2 linked regions of the Caenorhabditis elegans genome follow. The protein of the gene in region 1 interacts with the protein of each later gene in a pairwise test. Each region holds a gene or a part of one and is shown on either strand. Other genes may lie near its edges.

Region 1 (4,623 bases):
GCAAACAGCCGTCCCCTTCTTCTACTTCTTGTCCTTCATTTTTGTTTCTAAAGTCGCTGTCATCACTGTGATTCTGTGGTGACTGCTGCAGCACAACATGCCAGATGCGTGGCAGATGTTGAAAACTTTCGGAAGTTTGTGTAGAAATCGGAGAAGAAGAAGAAGAACTTGACGAATTATATGAGCCTGACCAGCGCTGTCGTCTCGGTGCGTTTACCATTAGTATGTTACAAAATTGACCTGTCTCCCTTTCTTTTTCTATCCGCAGAGGATTTAACGCTTTATGAGAAAACCGTTCACCATATTATCGGCGAGAAGCAAAAGTGCGTGCCGTAACGGCAAAGTGTATGTTTGTTCTCCAAATATCACATTCAGCTTTTTTGCGCCTCGCAAGAAAATGCTCTAGGCTTGCCGACGGTCAACTCGAACCTTCTGGACCAAATTGAAAATTTTCCGACTGTCCTGAAACTATAGCTCCTAATAGTTGTATTTTATTTTTAAATTCAAAAATTTTCCAACATTAAGAAAGAAGGGAATCGAGTTTCCCAGGTGCAATGACTCACGGCTTTTCGAACGAAAGTGGGATTTTTGACGAATTTCAAATTTTCGAAAGTGGCAAGTATTTTCGCTAAAGTAATGTTATTCTTTTCAAAATATTGTCTAAATTTTCTAATTTATTACTAGAAAGTTTTAAAGTGCTACAGTAATCATGACTCTAAAATTATTAAGTTAACATGTATATTTCAATTTTATCTAATTCATTATAAATATGTATTGAAAACTTACTTATATTATTTAGTTGAATTTTTATTAGAAACACCAGTTTTTACTAAAAAATAGAGTTTAAATATTTTTCATGTCTCTTTTAGTAACAAAATTTATTGAGTGATACCCGTAGAAAACAACAGGTGTGACCGCACTAAAATATATACAACACACTACATTTCCCGCAATTCATGTAGGCCAAATGGTGGTGGGTACACTGCACGCGTGTTAGAGTTGCCCCTCGGTTTAGTCGATCGATAAACAGTATTGCATCCCTGCTAGTCTTCCACATACCTCTTTAAGACACTACATGGAACAATTCAATTTTTTTTCGCTTTTTTCATTTTTTTCTTTTATCAATAATATCTTCGAACTTCCAAAACATTACACGATTTGTTTTGTTTCTGTTCAAATTGAGTTCAAAATAGGGCGCGCGAAATTTTTTTAGTCGAAGACTTCATTTTTCGGTTTTTCTTGCTCGTTTTGCGCTATACTTTTCAATACATTTTGCGCAAATATCTTGTTGTCACCTGACAGTGCTAAACTTTCTGAAAAATCTGCGCGCACTTCTTCTTATTTATTCTTCTTCCAATTTCCAATCTCTGACTCATTATTAATTTGTCATTTCGACAGCGCCTTATTCATATTCACACTGCACTCTTTCTCATCTTTTGCTTGTCCCTTGCTCTCCTTCGGGTTCTCTTGAGGTCGCCGACACACAAACGGTTGTTTCGTAATAAATATTTATTTGTTTTCGCAAAATTTATGCGGTCCCCTTTCTCATGGGCCATTCCGAACTTTGAAGATAGTAATTCATTTTCGTTGCAGAGAAGACATTCCAACTCGACATTCTCTTAATGAACCCACGACTAAAAAGATGACCGACAAAACAGCTGGTGAGATTGAGAGTTTAGTCCATAAACATCAAGATTATTAATTTCAGAACTTTGCCTGAAAATTGGAGATGAAGAAAAGGATGATTTCACATTGGAAATTGAAAAGCTTCAGGTTTGTTTTGATTTGTTTCATGTCTAACGGCTCCACCCCAAAATAAAACTCATTTCAAAACCACTTCCCATTGTTTATTCGCAAGAAAAAAGGATTAGTGAAGTAGTGGAAGGCTCTTCCCAACCACTTGTTCGTCGTCCTTCTGAATTCCTCCCCTCACTATCCCAAGTTTTCAGGCCACTCTTCAAGAAATGCTCGATTGCACGAGCAGCCCAAGCACTTCACTAGATTCCACTGACAAACGTGAGTTATTCAATCATTTATGACCTTCAAGAAAGATATTGAGTTTAACGAAGAAGTTTAAAGTTTGAATATTCCATGCATTTCAAAGTTCAGTTTACAGTGAAATATAAAACAGAGCTTTTAGTTATTGTGTGGTTGAAAAGTTTTTAATTCTTTAGTGAGTTTTTTTTTCAAACATAGATAGATATAATACAATATGCTCCCTATTAGTATTACACCTACATTTCTATACTCTGAGATTTCATATTTCGATTATTTCTAAAGATAAAAATGTAACCTAAATTTTACTAGTTGAATACTTTCACTGTCAAAAGAAACACAGTAGGAGCACACGTTAATACCTAATTTTTTAATATTCATCAAGACTGTCTTAAAATTTTTTTTTGTTTGGGTTCCGAATAAAAATTTAACAACTAAAGCAAAAAAAATCATTGTAAGTCAAGAAAGATCATTTTTGAAAAAAAAACCAAAAATCAGGAAATAGCCAAAAAAAGACTGAAAATAATTTTTAATATTCTAGTGCCATCCGGACTTGCTGCTCGTCGACTGATCCGTATTGCCAGTGAACATCATCATATTTCCACGACATCTTCTTGCCATTCGGACTCTGGAAACTCTTCATCTCGAGACGTCATCACCCCGTTTACAGTACATGGCGGAGCCTCAATTGGACGACTCATTCTGATTGATATTGTGCGACGTGATGATTTAATTGGAATTGTTCATCCTAACGATATTCTTTTAACAATTGAGAACATGTAGGTTTTCTAGAACATTTCTTTTTTTATTATTTAAATTTTCAGAAAAGTATCAGGAATGGTAAGATCTGAAGTGAATAGGATATTGGAAGATATGATGAGAGAACATGATCAAATTGCGATTGAAATTCTACCAGCTGGAGCAATTACCGATGATATTTGTGAACTACTGGCCGATAGAAAATCATCTGGTGAACTTCAGACTATCATTCGAGAAAATTTATATCAGAAGACAGTTCCTTGTGAGTTACAAAAAAAGTTGATCTGAAACTAACTAGATTGGATTTAATACTTATAAGTTTCATTCCTCAAAACCTCATTGTTTTCAATGGCACTAGCAGCTGCCCACAGGGAGTATCATTGAGATGAAATAGTGTGTGATCTAGAGAAACCTAGACATCCGCCCCATTAAATTAGGTGATTTAGGATCTAGGGGATCATCACAAGGTGGGGGAGGGTCCGAAGCTGGCCACCAGTGGAAGTGTTAAAATGTTCGGTTCGCCTTTACCAAAACATTCACTAAAACCTGCATTTCTTTCCAAACGAACATCTCTTCCTGTTATTGATCTAAAAGATTATTATGGAGGGACAAGTATTGAAGTTAAAACAAATTTCAATTTCAAAGTGACCATTTTCAGACACAACTCGACCTCCACGAGAAGGTGAAGTTGATGGAGAACACTATCGATTTGTGTCTGTAGATGATTTTAATAAGCTTCTCGACAGTGGTGACTTGCTCGAAAATGGTACATATCAAGGTAACCTCTTTTCTCCATGTTCAACTATTTTACGCTTATTATCATAAAAGAAAACCGCTGCTTCACGGTTTTACTTGCTCGCGAATCTCCGTAAAATCCAGCCACCTGGTAGCCTTTTTCGGCACCTGTCTTAAGAATTTCTTATTTCTTATTTCCACCGCTTCAATAGCTCCATCTGTCTTTGTCTGCGATCTCTTATATCCCCTATTACCTTCTCATCACACTCACTTACCTGTTTTCTACCTCACAGTCCTCGTCTACCCTCTTACGCAATCTTGGTATGTCCTCAAATGGAGGACTGTACCCTCTACGTCTCCTGCTTCATAACACTATTTCGTGACAAAACACAGTCCCATTCCGCTCATTTTGCATCTTTCTCCTTCCGTTGTCCCTCTCTCTTTCTCTCTTACCTGACACAATGGTTCATTCACCTCTCTCACCAAAATTGGAGTGGATTACATTCTTTGCATGTGTAAAAAGTGCACCCTAAAATTTGAAAATTCTTTCTCAACGGATCTGCCTTCCCAGATCATTTTTCATCCATATGTCCGCCTTGAGAAAATGCATATATCATGCTCACTTGTCATCGGAGCCCACCAATATCCATGTGACAAGTAGCAGTAAACTTGACTATTGTTTTTGGCTCCTCTTCATTCCATTTCGGAAAGAGAAGACTTGGTGATGCCCCCACAGATTCGATTCAATTTCGTTAATTCAATCTCATAGTGGCTTCTTCCATTCTTTTCTGTTTCGTTTCTATTCTTCTTCTTACTTTTTCGCATCCTTCTTATTCTCGCCCTACACTTTCTCTGCTTAATCCCTGTTTGAACTAAATTCTCGGAGAAGACAAGGAGTTAGCAGCAAAAGTTGAATCCTGAAGTTTTTTTTTCGTTTTTTTTCTTTACTGGTGTCGTTGCCTGCCTATTTGCGTCCTTGTCAAAACAATGCCATTTTTCGGTCAAGTACCCTGAACCAGTACTAGTTTTGACAGTAAGTCCGAAAATGGAAGTTGAAAGGGCATAATGATGATGAGGATTGTTATTGAAATAGAGATGCAAAACTGGCGTTTTGACATTCAGGTCTAAATTCTT
Region 2 (7,588 bases), on another chromosome or scaffold:
AGTTTGTTTTACTATCGTCACCATAGGTGTGTGTGCGTGTGTGTTTGATATAAGATTTAATCGCAATTCGGCATGTTTCTTCTATTGTTGCCGCATTGGTTAAACACCAGTTTGGGGTTTTTTTGGAAGAGTATTTCAAGTTTCTGAAAGTTAAAGCATTTCAAATTTCAGACTAAGAATTTTACAGTAAGTGGTATTATAAATAATTGCATTGACCGCAAATTATTGAAAAAGCTTAGAATTTTTAAATAGAAATATTGTTTCAGCATTTCGTAGTAGTGCTGCAATATTATCTTATCGGAATAATTAATCTGAAAAGTTCAAACCGATTTTTAAATTTTGACAAATTTATTTTGAGTTATAAAACTCTGTTTGCGGAAAAATGGTTACTTTCCCAAAAAGTAATGAAATCTCACAAAACTAATTGGCCTAGCTCAATTCGAAAATTTCCACTTCCATTTTGCTTCACCGTTCTTTTTCATTTGAGCCACCCTACTTGTGCACCACTCGGACAAGTGCATTCTATTTATTCCATTTTCTTTTCATTGTGATTAACCATCCTGAATAAAATGTCTTGGGTTTTCTGCTCGGCGCCTCTTTCTATCTTTCTCCAAAATAGAGTACATGTAGACTTGAGTTTCTTTTCGGTCTTCCTTTTCTTCCCTCATTCCTTAAATTAGATTTGACATAAGAAGAACTTTATCGCAACAGGCGGATACCTTAAGGTTCTCATTCTTGTTTGCCGTTTATCGCTTCCATCGCAGACAAAAGTAGTGTGTTGGAGAATTTGACTGACGCAAAAACCACAAACATTTTAGGGTCAAATTCACATTTCCAATTAATATTTTTCAATATTACCGTTTGCCATGCTTCATAGGTAATTAGATGTATACACTTTCTCATGGCAAGTGTGCCACCCGTAGAGCAAATGTTATATAACGCAGGAGGTATGCAATAACCAAATTTTGTATACAAATCAGATGGCTCGCCATCGAATAGTCTCACGCTGAATGAACTATTTTTCGATCAATTCATGCTTTTTAGTACAGCTTTGTGTAAGCTGTGTGCTAGTAGAAATGTCAAATTATTTTCATGAAATTGTATACATCCGATTTAGCATATCTTAAAAAATCCTTATTTGTAAATACAGTTTCCGATAACTTGTGAACCCTTTTTTACTTAATTTGATATTTCAATCTTTAGTAAGTTCAACTGTTAACACCTTTATAACAGTTTTTCATCTTGAAAAAATGTCTAAAAATTTGACAAACAGAAATTTAACGTTAAAAGACCAATAATGAAACAGGAAAACAAGACAATATCAAAAGTAGGCCATCCATTTGCGCGGGAATTTAAACATAATTCAGAAAATCATCGCACATTTAGAATAATTTTATTATTTTTATTTTTAAATTCATATTTGTACACTACATCCCATTTTCATATTTGCAAAGTAATGTTTACTTTTCTAAACTTTGTGATTTTTTCTTGAATTTCAATATTTCAATCTCATTTTCAATTTTCTTAAACTTCAATAAAGTTTCAGATGATTGGAAGAAAAGAGAAGGAACGGGAACGTCCATACTATCGAGACCCAGATGACCCTGAATATATCAAAGATTTGCAAAGACCGGCAGTAATCAAAGTAAGTGCTGCTCCAAGTTTTTCCGTAAAAAAAACTAGAGCACATCAAGTTTTCCCTCCTCAGCTCTCTTTTTTCTCTTTTTCCAAGAACTTCAATTAATGAAACCTGCCATTATTAGCGCAGTGTCATTTTTTGAAAAGACTTGGGAAATTGAATGGAAAATGCAAGAGAAGAAGAGAAAGGAGTGCTCGCTCTTTAATCAGCTTAAAAGATGGATGAGAAATGCTCTATTTTAGGAGGATTTGTCAGAGATGGAGAGACGGAAAAGAGTGCAACAGATACTTGAATCAAAATCATTCTGCCACGAGCTAGAAGAAGTTATTCGTCAGGTTTGTAATTTGTCTTTTTTCTCGTTATTTTGTTTCAATAAATGTAATTTTGTACAAAACATTTTACATCTAGGAGTGTGATACAGCACGTACGGATCCGGATCACTTGCAAGTACTCCAGAAACTTTCGGACCTCACAGTTCCACAAGGAAACATGTCGTTTGGCAACCTTCACACATATGGTTTGTATTATATTTTGGAATAATGTATTCGAAAAACGGATAACTTGGTTTTTTTTCCTTATTTTGACAAAAGAAACTCGATTTATGCTTATTCACACGAGGAGTTACAACATGTTATAATGCAGAAAACTTTCCTATACGAATTTTAGCTATGCTGAAACCTTGTGACACAAAAGTAGATATACTTTTTTTGTTTTTCTAGTAAAGTATTATAATATCAAAAATCTAAGATTCCCATGCATAAACAAAATTGCAATATTTTTACAAACTTGAACTTCTGTAAGTTGACAATTTCCGATAAATCATGTAATCTATGTTTCAGGTGGAAACACCATTGCAATTGCTGATCTTCGTGGAAACGAGAAGTATTCAAAAGCGGAACGTATCCAGAGAAACAAATTGGCATGCTTGTTTCGACTAGCTGACCTGTTCCAGTGGTCACAAGGGATTCATAACGAAATCTCGGTAGGGTGCTTGAAGTATTGACTTTTTAAAATTACCACAAAAATTTAAAACTTGAACCTGTGGTTTAAAGTAAAATTTTGCAATCAACCAAATTTATTTTACAATATAGCAAATACAACGCGTGTAGAAATTGTATGAATTTCAACTTTATTAAAATACGAAACTTCTGAAACAGCTGCCAAAATGTAAGGATTAATCAGCTTTAAATTGGGATTTTTTTTGTTCAGTGTTGTGTTCCGGTTACACACCACTTTATTTTCCGACGTGAGTTAACTAGCAGGTCCATTAACGACGTGTTTAAAAAAATGTATTAAAATTATATTTCTATGAAACTTCTACAAAAGTAAAAACACCATATTTACCTTTCTAGAAGAATTTTAACAAAATTGATTTAGTATCGAACCAACGATGAGGATAACACTTTTCTGATGAATCCATTTGGTCTTCTCTACCATGAAATCACTGCTGCGACCATCGTGAAGATAGATGAAAATGGAAAAATTCTGGATTGCGGGACACTGAAAGCTGGAGTCAACCAGGTACCTTTAAAATCAAAAACGACTTATTTTTGCACTCATCAAGTTAAGCCTGCGTTTCTTCTTCATTCTGCAATTTACAAAGCTCACCCAATGGTCAGATGCATTCTTCATATGCACACGGCAATTGTGGCGGCTGTGGCTAGTATGAAATGTGGTTTATTGCCTCTATGTAAGGAAGCAATGGTGCTTGGGCCAGTTGGATATCACGATTATCAGGTTAGCAAAAATATTGAATTTGAAGAAAAACAATCACTTGTGTGGTTATTTTCATAATCTGAAAAATTTAAGTGTGAACGAGAGAAAATTGAAAATCTGAAGGTTAAAGAAACTAGAAGCAAAATCGGCAACCGTTTTTTAAAATTATTTTTTGATGATTTTTTTCCAGTCAAAGTTTTGGTACTTTGCCAAAATTTGAAAAAGTTTATCATGTAAATCGGTAGTTTTAGTACTTAAAGTAGATATAGAAAAGTTCATCGTCGACCTTCGAACGGTTTAAATTTTCATTAACCTTTCACATGACTTTAACTATAAAATCAAAAAAATTGTTGAATTTTCTTTTCAGGACATTGGTGATGATGATATTCAATTTGACGAAATTATTGCAAATCTTGGAGACAAAAACGTGCGTTAGCTTTACTTTGAACTGCTTTTCTATCCGCTTTTCTATGCTTCGTTTCAGGTCCTTTTCCTCCGCAATCAAGGATTCCTTGTTGTCGGTGACACTATCGAGCATGCCACTTTTCTAGCCAACAACACTGTGATAGCATGCGAAACTCAGGTTTTTGAAGTTTCTCATATTTAAAAATTACACGCTGCCCTGCCGCCAGTAGTTCAATTCTATCGCCAAATGCTTATTTTTTATGAAATGACGATGGGATTAAAACATTTAAGGTTCTGCTGATCAGAGGAGAAGGATGTTTTGTTGTTGGAAATTCCGTTGAAGAGACATCTATAATTATGCGCAACTTAGTCACTGCTTGTGACCATCAGGTTTAGAAAAGTTATAATAAATGAGAAATATTATTTCATATCAAATACAAAATACATAATCAAAGTTTCCAAAAACAAAATATTTTTGTAAGGTACGTGCCGCAAGGGCTGGACTTGACAACCTCATCATTCCGGAAGAGAAAGCAATACAAAGAGCGTTCAGAAATTCTCGAAATAGTAAGATTCTGCAATATATATTGAAATTTAAAATACATCTATAATGCTTTTGTAGCGAATTCCCTGAAACGAAATGGAACAGTTGATTGGAGAGTCGGAGAATTAGAATGGGAGTCTTGGATGAGAGTGTTGGATCATGCGGTGAGCAGAATTTTTTCGCCCTGCTCACAGTTGTTTCACTAAAAATTGCTACTAATTATAGAATTTTCAAACCGGGCACGTCTATCGTCAACCACAACTGCGGCCCAAATCTGCAATGTCTACGTCAATGGTGAACAACAATGATGTTGCTGTTCCGCCAACTACATCAGCTTATGGACAAATTGATGAAACAAACTTGGAAAGTGTATCTGCACATCGTCTGGCTTTACTGCGCAAGGAGCAGGAGCGGGTTCGTTGGATGAACAGTCCAAATGCATATCAGAAGGTTGAATTTTTGGAGTATGGAGCAGATAACCCAAAGAAGATAACTAAAGTAAGAACTGTTTTCAACTTTTGCAGTACGAAAATAAAATTTGTACATGAACTTCTGATGGTTTGTGTCATTATGTTTACACAGTTATTTTCATATAAATGTACAAAAAAATTTGAAGAAACATTAAATTAAAAACTATAAACAGAGATTTGAAAACCCAAATAGCTATGATATGGGTGGGCCCTACTAGTGAATTTTTGTTTTGGATAATTTCTATGTCACTAATTTTTGGATTGTTGTCATTATGCACATTATGAATACATGTTATGCTAACGCAATAAAAAAATGTATTTTTCAATATTGGAGTAGTGTCAGAAAATGTTCAAAATTGCTCCAATACCAACTATCGATTCAGGCTGTGCCTAATTGTGTTTTGAAAATTTTGATCCGCAATAAAAATATGTATTAAAGTTTTTTGAGAAGTCTCATTATAAAATTCGGTCGCATTTGGTTATTGAGTTCAAATTAAACATCTATGATAAATCATTGGAGAAAAAATTAATTTTAAAGTGTTTTAAATTTACACAAGTTCAAATCATTTCAGTGGGTTCATGACGTCAACGTTCCATCCGCGAGTGGAACCCCTGTCAAAATCAGCAGTGTTCATCAATTCAGTCCTGCGTCTTCAAATCCTAAAGAATTTAAAGAAAAACAAAAAGCTATCAAAGAAAACAACAGACTGGGAACTCTTTCTGCTGGACCACAAAGCCAGATTTTGGACAGTGTGACATATGAAGACATTGCACTATTGATTAAAGTGAAATATCCCGTCTTGAAAATTCATTTATTATTTTGTAATCTTTCAGCCTGATAATGACGGAACAGTCGGACAGAGCTCGACCGCTGACCGAGCAATACTTATCGGAACTGCCAGCAAGGGAATCATTGATAGGCAATTTCAGCATCATGCTCAGGTGTACCACCAAATCTATGCGCCGAATCCATTCTCTGTAGAAACTGATGCAGACATCAAGAAATATGTAGACATGGTGAAGGCCAAGAACTCGCAAAGCGCTCCTGTCTCAGCGAGAAGTGGTTACTCTCAATACGATGAGGTTGAAGCTGGTAAGGTAGCTGAAACAAAAAAACAGCAATTTTTAAAGTCGTTTTTGAAAACGAAAACTGAAATTCCTTTATTTAAAACGTAATAAAATAAAATAAACACTGCAAAAAATCCATGTTGTGTTGCGAGTTTTTAACTGAAAATCTGGGGTTCAAAACACTTGTGGGATGCCACTTGTTTTGAGTATGTTCTTTTTGGCTCCACTTACAAAATATATTTTTGAAAATATATTGCTGACAAAGGTCTAAAAATAGCTTCTCTAGTTGTAACCAGCCGATTTTCAAAAATTATTCCAGATACAGTTTCCTTAATGCAAGGAGTACGAGAACATAAACTTTCTCAAGCGGCTCTGAGCGCATCTGACGACGGCCTGAATGCCGGAATCTCCCCGAATAATGGTAATTTTTATGTGGTTGCTCCTTCACATTTTATCGATGCGCCTGTTTTCTATCGCTTTGTTTTCCAGTGTTTTAAATTATTTGAATGCCTATTTTCCATATTTCCAGTCCGAACTTCCGAAGAAAGCGTCAATACGTCGTACATGAGCCAGTCAGTTGTGTTCGATTGTAGGTTTATTTTCCTTATTCTTTCTGTGTAGCATGTGTGTGGTGGCTTCAAAGCTTTTTATAACTTTCACAGATTTTCTAACTCTTTGTGTACAGGCGATCACCCTTCTCCGATGTCAATTTCGACAGAGTACCCTGAAAAAGTTAAAATGACGCGATTTTCGTCGACTCAAGGAACAAGTGAAGGTATATTTGTAACTACGTGGTGTCTATTTGTGTTTTCACTTTTTTTTCGAGCGCATCAGCTAACTAATCAATAACTGAGTTGTAACATTTAGGCAATACAACGTCTCGATCGTGCACTACAGCGTCTGAAGAAGAAGTAAGAATTTTTGGAAGCAAATAGTTTTTCAAATGTTTCAAACTTAAAAAAGAATGAGGTTTCTTGCCATAAATAACAGAAAAACTATAAAGTAATATATTAAATTTTTAATAATGTTTTTTTTCAAATTAGAAGTTTTTTTTTGATATTTTAACAATTTCTGAAAAATTTTAAAAAAATTCAATGAAAAAATTAAACTTTTTACAGTTGTATTCTCTATATATAAACTGTTTTCTGTTATTTTGGGCAAAACCCCACTGACTCTACTCTACCTTCAAATAAGATTGAAATATTTGCTAACTTCTCTGCTTTTGGGACTAATCAAGCACTTATTTTACACCGTTTTTTATTTCAGAAGCCTACAAAAGATGAGAAAAAGAAGAAAAAGAAAGGATTTTTGTCATTTATGCGAAAAAAGGACAAATGAAAAATGAGAGTTTTGCTCTCACCTTGCTCTCACCAACACGTTCACATCACTTAACTCTAACACTTTTCGATAACTTTTTCTATGTTTTCTTTTCAATTTTCAGATCCGGATATACTACGCCCAATTTACCGTCAAGAAACATATGTCTAGTCTCTGGACTTTTCTTTCTTTCCCGTGAACTTTCAATTCCGGTTATGGATAATAGCAACACTCTGTGCTTTGTCTTTTGTTTTTCGAATATTTTTAAAATGTCATTTTGTACGCATATTTTTTTTATATTATGTATTTGCATTTCCATCAAGTTTTTTATACTTTCATCTATAAATAATTATATTATATTACAAAAAAAAGCCAGGACAGAGAAGAATTCGGCAAAGTGACTACGAAAATAGCTTTTCTCAACGAATT

What was found. The genes of interacting proteins can lie anywhere in the genome.
Region 2: the proteins of magi-1 (region 1) and add-1 interact in a two-hybrid assay, tested with the Caenorhabditis elegans proteins (2 studies listed by BioGRID).

The regions. Positions count from the first base shown.
Region 1 is NC_003282.8:11,713,448-11,718,070, forward strand, and holds the start of magi-1 (Guanylate kinase), read left to right. Parts: upstream 1-1,591; 5' UTR 1,592-1,642; coding exon 1,643-1,661; intron 1,662-1,708; coding exon 1,709-1,773; intron 1,774-1,949; coding exon 1,950-2,016; intron 2,017-2,536; coding exon 2,537-2,774; intron 2,775-2,819; coding exon 2,820-3,016; intron 3,017-3,077; exon of another isoform or gene 3,078-3,254; intron 3,255-3,412; coding exon 3,413-3,532; intron 3,533-3,771; exon of another isoform or gene 3,772-3,916; intron 3,917-4,623.
Region 2 is NC_003284.9:4,853,995-4,861,582, reverse strand, and holds add-1 (Adducin-related protein 1), read left to right. Parts: upstream 1-1,539; 5' UTR 1,540-1,546; coding exon 1,547-1,645; intron 1,646-1,881; coding exon 1,882-1,974; intron 1,975-2,047; coding exon 2,048-2,156; intron 2,157-2,478; coding exon 2,479-2,621; intron 2,622-2,740; exon of another isoform or gene 2,741-2,890; intron 2,891-3,016; coding exon 3,017-3,160; intron 3,161-3,208; coding exon 3,209-3,376; intron 3,377-3,722; coding exon 3,723-3,782; intron 3,783-3,839; coding exon 3,840-3,938; intron 3,939-4,242; coding exon 4,243-4,327; intron 4,328-4,382; coding exon 4,383-4,468; intron 4,469-4,529; coding exon 4,530-4,802; intron 4,803-5,346; coding exon 5,347-5,559; intron 5,560-5,608; coding exon 5,609-5,867; intron 5,868-6,161; coding exon 6,162-6,263; intron 6,264-6,371; coding exon 6,372-6,431; intron 6,432-6,527; coding exon 6,528-6,617; coding exon of another isoform or gene 6,618-6,691; intron 6,692-6,709; coding exon 6,710-6,753; intron 6,754-7,108; coding exon 7,109-7,180; and 4 more. UniProt on the Caenorhabditis elegans protein: Membrane-cytoskeleton-associated protein that promotes the assembly of the spectrin-actin network. Plays a role in time-dependent memmory loss and the retention of conditioned behavior over time.